2 linked regions of the Nothobranchius furzeri genome follow. The protein of the gene in region 2 purifies or fractionates together with the protein of the main gene of each other region. This does not show direct contact. Links are inferred from orthologs where the notes say so. Each region holds a gene or a part of one and is shown on either strand. Other genes may lie near its edges.

Region 1 (4,786 bases), on a different chromosome or scaffold from region 2:
CAACATTTTTCATTTTTTTAAATCATTTTCTTGAGCCAGTAAGTGCTAAAATGACTCTTTGCAGGATTATTGAAAGGCCATCCAGCCCCTATCGCCCTCTGTGGCCAGAATATTCCACTTGCAGCTTTAGCCTGGCTGTTCGCTCTGTTGGGACAAAAAAAATTGAGCTGACAAACCTGGCGCTGCAGTCTGCTTCCAGCACTATTCCTGCATTTAGTGGCTGCCAAATACTTATTTTTTTTAAGACTGATGATAATTTGGTGTCTGTAGGTTCAAGATTTAAAAGTGCCACAGAAGCATTTTTATAATTTAAATTCAATGAAATTCCTTAGACTTAACTAAGGAAGGATGGTTTCTGGGTTTATTTGCATCTGTCTGAACATCTGTCCTCTTCAGGTTTGTGTTCATCCACCACACTATGGGCAAGCACAATTTCAAGCATAATGCAATAAATACAACCGAAAAACATTAAATTATCATTTTAATCATTATGATACATTCTAACATATAAAACAGGTTACGCTAGACGAATCTTCTCCAGGATAACATCTTCCTACTCTTGCTTAAAATGCTGATAATTTATTGTCCATCCATTCATTCATTTTCTTCTGCCTATCTGGGGATGGGTCATGAGGGCATTATGTTCCAGAGTCTAATTTTCAGATTAGCATGAAACATGCAAATCAAATAAACACCAGCAGATAAAGCAGATCCATCACTCATTCCTGGCTACTGGATCTGTTCCATCGAAACAGGACAGAAAAAGTACAATAATCAACAAAAAATAAAAACAAACAAACAAACCACATCAATGCAAGGCTATGCTATCAGACAAATTGCCACAGCATAAAAAGTCACCAGTACTTAACAAAAAAAATTGTAATGTGATTTTTTTTTATTTCCAAAGGTGTGAACGCATCACTTTCAAAAGGTGCATGTAAGCTCCTGAACAAGACACGCCCCTTTACTTTGTTGGCTTCTTCTGAGTGGTTTAGAATCTGCTTTGCAAATTTAACAGGAAATGATTTGAAAACATCTAGAAAGTCTCCTTAGATAATTACGGTATATCCGGTTCTCATTCTGTCCTTCAAAATAAGAGCGCTGCTGTTCAAAATGAAATAAATTACTGATGATATAAGTTAATGAGATAATGCATATGGTTTAGCAAAAACTATGTTCTGCATCAATTGTATTCCAATGAAAAGTTATTGTTTGAATCTTGACTTACGCAAAAGGTAAAAAAGAAGAATTTTTGAAAATCGTGTTCTAAAAAGACAATTTAAAAAATACCAGTATTTTTGTACACATTTAAAGAAATTTTATTTTGTTTCATTTTATTGTTGTGTCCTTTTTTTATTGAAATTGATACATTTAAAAAATGTTTGTTCACGTTTGTGTATTCAGTATTTAGCATGTCACATTGTGCCCATTTCGTTGCATCTTACCCAATTCTGTGAATTGAACCAGAATAAAGGATATACTGTATTTTTCTAACTTTTTTTTATATCATCTGTTTTTCTTTTACTATCTAGTTTCACAGGCTTTCTGAATCTCGGCCTTTAAAAAAAAGTTCCTTTTTATTTTGAAAAGCTGTACCGGAACTTTTCGTTCTGAAAGTGAGCTCTGCAAATGCAAAGCTGTGATTAGCCCTTAGCCACGTCACGTAAACTTAGCAGTGGACGAGCTAATCGTTCAAGACTAAAGACTTGTAGTTTTAAGAGGTCCTGGGTTCTTTTCAAAGTGACTTTTTTTTTACATTTCGGACTTGTAGGTTAGCAGAAGACTTTTGAGAAGATGTCGGACATCGGGAACTGGTTCAGAAGCATCCCTTTAATCACCCGGTGGTGGTTCGCTGCTTCCATTGCTTTTCCTTTGATAGGAAGACTAGGATTGGTTTATCATAGCAACCTTGTGCTTATTCCGGAGCTCGTCTTTAACAAATTTCAGGTACGCACTTCAGTGATTTGTTCATCCGTGTCGGCAAAAGGATCAGTTATCATTTTTTACTCTCTGTTTATGTATTCGGTTAGCTAGCAGGTGGCTAACCATGACAGGCCTGAATCCCGACATGGCAGGATCTGTTTTCCGGATGCTGTCTATAAAACTCAGTGCGTGTTATTCGGGTGTTATTACATAAATACTAGGTTCAGAAAGATGTTCTGAAATGTCACCAAAAAAAGAAAAAACAAACAAAAAAAAACACGGAGTTTTAATGTGACAAAATACCAGCGTTAGATGATTTGATAAAGGACAGCTATTTTGTTTTTAGTATGCTGTTCTCACGGCGTCCACAAGGCGGCGACAATGTCTTGAGTAGTGACGAAGCGTGTTGGGCATTGTCTCTGGCTGCTGGAGCTTCAATATCAGATACAGGAAAGAATGTCGGATTTTAGGCGCAGGATTTCAATTCAGTTAAAAATACTTTATTTGAAACGCTAACTGCACGTGCTTGTTTATTATTATACAGGAGATCACATAACTCATTAAACGAATTTAACACCTTAAATTAAAATGCAAATTCCATTAATAGGCAAATAGACCTTCGGCTAAAATGTTTGTGTTGATCCTGCTTTATGTAAAGATCTTCACCCTTTAATTATCCTTATTTGTAATCTACGGGGTGCTGACTGTGTCAATATCACATAGTATTTTGAGGATTAATGCTTGTTTTTATTTGTTTCAGCTCTGGAGGCCAGTCACTGCCACCTTTTATTTTCCCATCACCCCTCAAACCGGATTCCTTTATTTGGTCAACCTTTATTTTTTGTACCATTACTCCACTCGGCTGGAGACATGTAAGACCGCTGCCATCCTGTGACTACTCCTCTCTGTAGTTTAAATGTTCTCTGCATCTGATGTTTTTTGTGTTTTTCAGCTGAGTTTAATGGCAGACCTGCAGACTATGTTTTTATGCTGCTCTTTAACTGGATCTGCATTCTTGTATCCTTTAACCAGCGCCCATTTAAGCCATAAGCTGTAAGCTTTTTACAATCAGAGGTGTATGGCGTTTCCTCCTGTATTTTTTCCTCTCCTTCCTGCACCTCTTCTCTCTCTGCAGCAGTGTACAATGTCAGGGTGGCTCTGTGCCAGTGGCCCAGTGTCAGTCTACCCCTGCAGAGTGGAGAAACCTAATCTAGGTTACATGCAGCACCAGCAGTCCAGCCCACACCTTAGCTCCATGCTGCTTTGTCGGGAGTTCAGCCCTGATTGTTAGCTCCTAAGGCTTTTCATAGCTATTTCTTAGCTATAAGATTGAAGAATAACATTTATCCACAAAAATATTTGGCTTTTACTGCAGGAAGAGGTAGGAATAAATACGATATTGAAGGAGTGATGGCCCCAGATCCCTTATTCTGAAGTGGAGAAGGCAGATGTGACTGCTAGGTCCTTTAAGAGCTGAAGTGGGGATTGAAGTGGGCGACCGTCCCACGAGCAGCTGCTCTGATCCTGAAATTCCAAATGATTCCAGCGTGTTGTCCTTGACTTGGAGTGTGTGTGTAGATAACTGCGATGCTGATGAACATGCATGTGAGTTTTCTTCTGTATTTACACCAAAACATGAGTTATGGACTACTTCACTCAAAGCTACAGCTGAACTAGAGCTTTAACGTCTGTGTTCTCAGCTGCTGATGATCCCGCTGATCCTGTCCGCGCTGTACGTCTGGGCTCAGTTCAACAAAAACACCATCGTCTCCTTCTGGTTCGGAACACGTTTCAAGGTATTCTCCTCAGAACTGTAAACGGCAACATCAGGACAAACACTAGGGAGGGGTAGGGGATGGATTAAGACCTGGCATTCCCTACAGGAATCACCTGCTGCCTCAAACACCACAGATCAACACTTCTCCTTATGCTGAGAAATTAAACTTTTAGATGTTAATCAGTTAATCATTGTCTGGCCGTTGCTTCAAAATTCACACAGTAGCTCACAATTGTGGTTGCTAAGCAGCAGCAGATATCTACACCTACTGACGAGGGGTGTGCTCTGTTCTAGGCTCATTATCTACCGTGGGTCATCTTGGCCTTCAACTTTATCATCGGAGGCTCGTAAGTCTCATTTCTAACTGAATTCTGTTATGATTATCAAGCAGCTTGCTGTTATGGTGCTCCTGTGACCTTTGACCCTCCATTTTATGCAGATTTGTGAACGAGCTGACGGGGAACCTGGTGGGCCACCTTTACTTCTTCCTGATGTACAAGTATCCCATGGATCTGGGAGGACGCTCCTTCCTCTCCACACCAGAGTTCTTGTAAGACTTAGAAGGAAAAACTTCCACTTTTGATATAAATCATCACAGCTGGTGTGATTACTCCGTTCTTACTGAAGCTGTGCTTTTTACCTTCGCTTTCTGAATTGGATTCATGGATTTGTTCCTCCAGATTACCTTGAATTATATTTTTACTGAGCACCTCCCTCCCATGTGCAGGCATCGGTTCTTCCCCAATCACAGAGAAGTGTCAGGCTTTGGAGCTGTTCCGGGACGGAGGCCTGCTGCCCAGGAGCGAGGAGGAGGCCACAGCTGGGGACAGGGCTTTCGGCTCGGCGGGGAATGAGACGATTACCTCCTCTTCTAGCTTCCCCCAACAGACTGGGCTGAGATTCGTGCTTCCTCATGTTTGATGCTTTCGAGAGAACAAAAAGCTGTTGCCTCCAGTTTCGACAGACTGATCATTTTAAAAAGTTCCAGCAGGATGAAATGTGAGGAAGTGTTTTAACTAGAGCTGGCCTAGGGCCATGGCCCCGCAGGGCCCTTGTTCACTAAGTGCGGTCGTTCCTGCGTCTGTG
Region 2 (4,785 bases):
TTTCTCAGCTGATTTATCCCTCACAATGTTTATCTTTATCTAATGGATTAATCAAAAAGGTAAATCAAACGAACTTCAACTATATTTAGAAAACCAGACACCATTCTATCAGGAACAGTGAAGTCATTTGAAGGAGGAGGATTAAATGCAATTGATTTTGAGTCAACGAATGGGTCCATCAAAATAAAATGGCTGCAATCTTTTTTAAAGAAATTTAACAATATTTGGTTTAGGGTTGTCACGGTAACCGGTATAGCGGTAAACCCCGGTAAAAAAGTTGACAATAAAAATAACCGTCCAGTTTTTAAAAAACTAAATTATCTCGGTGGGTTTACCGTGGCCGCGGTTTCAGCGCGGTGACCCTTACCAGCCACCGTCGCTTCAGCTGAAGTTCCCGCGGCGCGCACACGCACTTTTTAGTTTGCGACGGCACCAAAACTTTGAAGCTGAAATAATGGCCGAAGGAGGAGACGGCAGCGCCCAGGACATCCATCAGCCCTCAAAGAAGACTAAATCGGAAGTATGGGCATATTTTGGATTTCTGAAAAATGCTGAGGGACAGTTAATAGAAGACGGCTATCCCGTTTGCGGAACGTGCAGAAGCAGGTGTCTGCAAAAGGCAGCAACACTTCGAATCTAATGGCACATCTGCGTGACCATCGCCCACGTCTCTACAGCCAGTGCAAGGTAAGTTAACATTAGCATTTTAGCTTAAATGCATGATGTGAGGACTTTTGGCTGAGGGAGAATGCAACGAGTCACCATATACTGCAGCCGCAGCGCCCTCTGCCAGCATTTAAACCGTGTCACGGACACCCTGTTGCTGGATGAAGCATCTCATTTGTTGATGATGAAGAGAAATATACAATTAGTTCCTTGTCATTGATTTGTTTACTTATTCAATGCCATTTATACTTGAACATTTGGATTTGATTACATAGTGTAGTAGTTATTTTAGTAATTTGTTTAAAGTGGCTATTTATTTTAAATACATATTTTTTAAGGTTGACTTGTACAGTGCTCAAGTCAAGTGTGGACTGGAGTTTTAGATTTTCATTTTGATAATGAAGAAAACAAGTATATGAGAAAACAAGTGGTGTTTCTTTGATTTGTTTACATATTGTTTATGTTTTGAATGTTTGGATTTGTATAATTTAAACCTGCACTGACTACTGTAACATGTTCCAGAAAAAGAAGCTATTTGTTCCTTTACTTGTGAAAAGTTGCACTTTTGCTAAGGCTTTGTGTTATTTTAGGTTTAATAAACACTGTTAAACCTTTTCAGAACTATTTCAGTTTGTGTAGAACAGGACTATCAATGCTTTCTGAACATATGCAACACCGTTTAAAAAATACTGCGATAATACCGAAAACCGTGATAATTTTGGTCACAATAACCGTGAGGTTAAATTTTCATACCGTGACAACCCTAATTTGGTTTTTTTCTCCCCAAAGTGATATTTGCAAACATTGGAGGTGTTGAATTTCTCCTTAAGTGTGACTTTGAAATATCAAAATTACCAGTCAATCTATCAAATTTTCATGAACAGGCCCTTCAGTACTGGAAGCTGATATATCAGCACAATTGTTCCCCTCACACAACATCAATCTGGAATAATAGGAGCATCTTAATTCATAGAAAATCTGTTTTCTATCAGGATTGGATGGATCGTGGAGTTTGGACAGTTTACTATCTATTAGATGGTGATGGGAATCCTTCATCATACAATGATTTCACTGAAAGATATGACATTATTTGTTCTAGACAAAAACTCGCCAAGCTTATGAAAGCCATTCCCCCACCAGTGATTCAGATGGCTAAAGCCAGCCTAGCTTATTCCAATTGTATCCTTAGAGAGCCATCTTTAATAACTGAAGGATGTCCTTTTAAGGGAAAGGCATGTAACAACATATTTTTAAGAACGACTCTCACCAAACAATATTTTCCATCACAACTCAAACGAAAACACCTACTTAGAGGCTCTAATTCCAGCTTTTTGATTCAATACATTTCCTTCCCAATTCCACCTAAAGCAAAAGAAAACCACTCCTAAATTTTGCATGCCATTTATCCATCAAATGATTGTTTACACAAGAAGTTCAACATCGACATAAATGCATGCGTCTTTCTGCACTAATGATGTTGAAACAGCAGAGCACCTTTTCCATTGGTGTGATGGATAATACTAATGTTTTTGTTAGCTTTTCAGCACTGGATAATGCAAATATATATATATACACTTCCCCCTGTTAACATTTTAAACTATTTGATTTGGTTTACAAACAGTTAATAAAACTTTACAATTTGGGATTAACAATTTGATTATATTGGCTAAATAGTTTATCCATAAGTGCCGTTACTTGAAAACCTCTCGCTGCTTTAAAAAACGAAGTACTTCTTTTGAAAGAATCATTAAAACATTGCAAATTAGACAAAACACATATCCTATTTGACCTTTTGAAACTGCTTTATGAATAATGTTAAAGTTTACAAATACGTAACAATACTTAAATGTGTTCTTGTTATCAATTTCTCCTTCCCTTTTCCTTCTGTTCATTGACATGGTCTGATACACTTTGTACTTTTTCTCTATTTGATGACTGATAAGTTCTTATCCTTTATACATAAATTTTATTACTAAAGGTTTGTTTACGCTGTATTGTCATAATTTCATAATAAAAAAACTGTTGGGATGTTGGTTGAAGCAGGAATGTGAGCCGTGCTTAGAAACTAGGAGGAAGAAAAAATCAAGACACGCCTTCTTCATTCGTAACAAACACATCCGAACATAAAGTGACAAACCTAAATTCTTTAATTCATCTCCAACAACAACTCGTTTTCATGAATCACGCGGAAGAAACCCGAGTTAATAGTGCGAGTATGACTTAAAGTAGCTTCTAGCCATTTTCTGCGACGCCCGTTCTCGCGACAGACTGGTTCCGACACGTCACCTACCTAAGATGCTCAGAAAAGGCAGGTCCTGGTTCTCCGGGGGACGGTTTTGACCAGATGAGTCACGCACACTGTCCATCGCTGAGCCCAGCACGACGAGCGGACCAAAACTTAGGAAGCTACGGACTTCTGGAAGCTTCCTCTGTCACAGCCGCTTCTGCACACTTATCGCGAGATCTTCTTCTTCTTCGTGTTTTCTGGCGGGTGGCATCTGACTGCTAGGTGCATTTCCGCCACCTACTGTGCTGGAGTGTGAGTCGGAGTAAGAACGTAAAAATAAAAATAAAAAAAATAATTCTATTCAACAGACCACTGTGTTTTAGAAACTCAATAACCAACTTATATTTCCTTCCTTCACCATTTAACAAATTTTTTACATTTATCACTCCACCTCCTATGTTTTTTAGTTTCTCCCTGAGTTGTCCTCTACTTTCCTCATATTTTATGCAGTCACTTAAAACATGTTCCACTGTTTCTCCCCCCACCCCACATCCACACAAACCTGTGGGATGTTTCCCTTATCAGATGCATCGTATTATTAAGCCCAGTATGTCCCATTCTTAATCTTGATATTATTCTTTCATCTCTACTATTCATTCTTATATTTTTCCATTTTCCTACTTTCCCTTGTATCTGAAACAAATGTCTTCCTTTCTGTCGCCTTTCCCACATTCTTTGCCACTCGTCCATTATATGTGCTTTAATGATAGATTTAATTTCAGCGGCACTATATGCATTTCCTTCTACTCCTTTATGTGCTGGTACCCATAAAAATTTAACTTCCGCACCCAATTTCCTTAATCTAAATATGGTCTCATAATCTCATATAATAAAGCTATTCGACTCTTGGTAGACATACATTTAACTGACACTAATACAGATAACAAATCAGTACATATAATTCCTTTTTTAATTCTATTTTGTTCCATCCATTGAAGACTAAATAAGATAGCTATCATCTCCACTGTGTACACAGATAAATGATCTGGAGTTCTTTCCCTAACTACTACTCCTATATGTGGTATTACTGTTGTGTGGTGGGGTGAGTACTCCTCATCTCTATAACATCTTTGAGCTCTTCATTTCAGGAGAGGGAGCTCACCAGCTGCAGGGTATTAGCAATCAGTGGCAGCTGCAGCTTCTCAGGTCATCCGCAGCAGAGCTCTATTTAAGAGGAGAGGGAACCACTACACAGTGCTGGATGATTAACTACTCATGGTAGTATTTTGGCCACTCGTTCTAGGTTGCTTGGTTTTTAAGTAGATAATTGGCTTGGAGAATTTCTTGGATTATTCTTGGACTCTTGTGTTGGATTTTTGGACTCAAGTTTTGTATCCTCTCTCCAGGATTACTGGACAATCTTCCCTGACGCTCTGGGTTTGTTGGATATTATCCTCTATCCAAGAAGCAGAACCTTACTGGATTACTCACCTGGAAAGAACCATACCTTCCTGGACTTCGCGGTTCGCCTCTCCTCTTATGGGCTCGACACACGGGAGGCGACATCGCCTCTCCTCCATTCATTTTCAATGAGACATACGCGACAAAGCGATAATCGCGAGTCTCTCTCCTACCAAGCGAAACGCGAAAAACGTGCGTGTGAAAATTTGCACTCGTGCACGTGTCGTGCACAGACGACCCAGCGATGCGATCCAAGAAAGTTGAAACATTTTCAACTTTTCATCGCTGTCGCTCGGGCGAGGACCAATCAACGGAGGTTTCATTCACTGACCAATGAGCGGACAGGATGCTCCGTACATCTCCGAGCAAACATGGAGGACAAGTTGATTATTATTATTTTTTATATAGTAAAATCGGAAGTAAGTCTTCAC

Evidence for each region.
Region 1: the proteins of selenos (region 2) and derl1 purify together in Homo sapiens (affinity purification with western blotting; 6 studies listed by BioGRID and IntAct, with this or other methods). This does not show direct contact. The link is inferred for Nothobranchius furzeri from reciprocal best matches to the Homo sapiens genes SELENOS and DERL1.

Annotation. Positions count from the first base shown.
Region 1 is NC_091745.1:56,656,044-56,660,829, reverse strand, and holds the start of derl1 (derlin-1), read left to right. Parts: upstream 1-1,639; 5' UTR 1,640-1,794; coding exon 1,795-1,947; intron 1,948-2,683; coding exon 2,684-2,795; intron 2,796-2,875; coding exon 2,876-2,940; intron 2,941-3,501; coding exon 3,502-3,528; intron 3,529-3,623; coding exon 3,624-3,719; intron 3,720-3,994; coding exon 3,995-4,047; intron 4,048-4,139; coding exon 4,140-4,250; intron 4,251-4,427; coding exon 4,428-4,554; 3' UTR 4,555-4,786. UniProt on the Homo sapiens protein: Functional component of endoplasmic reticulum-associated degradation (ERAD) for misfolded lumenal proteins. Forms homotetramers which encircle a large channel traversing the endoplasmic reticulum (ER) membrane.
Region 2 is NC_091749.1:6,253,716-6,258,500, reverse strand, and holds the start of selenos (selenoprotein S), read right to left. Parts: upstream 3,330-4,785; 5' UTR 3,033-3,329; coding exon 2,957-3,032; intron 1-2,956. UniProt on the Homo sapiens protein: Involved in the degradation process of misfolded endoplasmic reticulum (ER) luminal proteins. Participates in the transfer of misfolded proteins from the ER to the cytosol, where they are destroyed by the proteasome in a ubiquitin-dependent manner.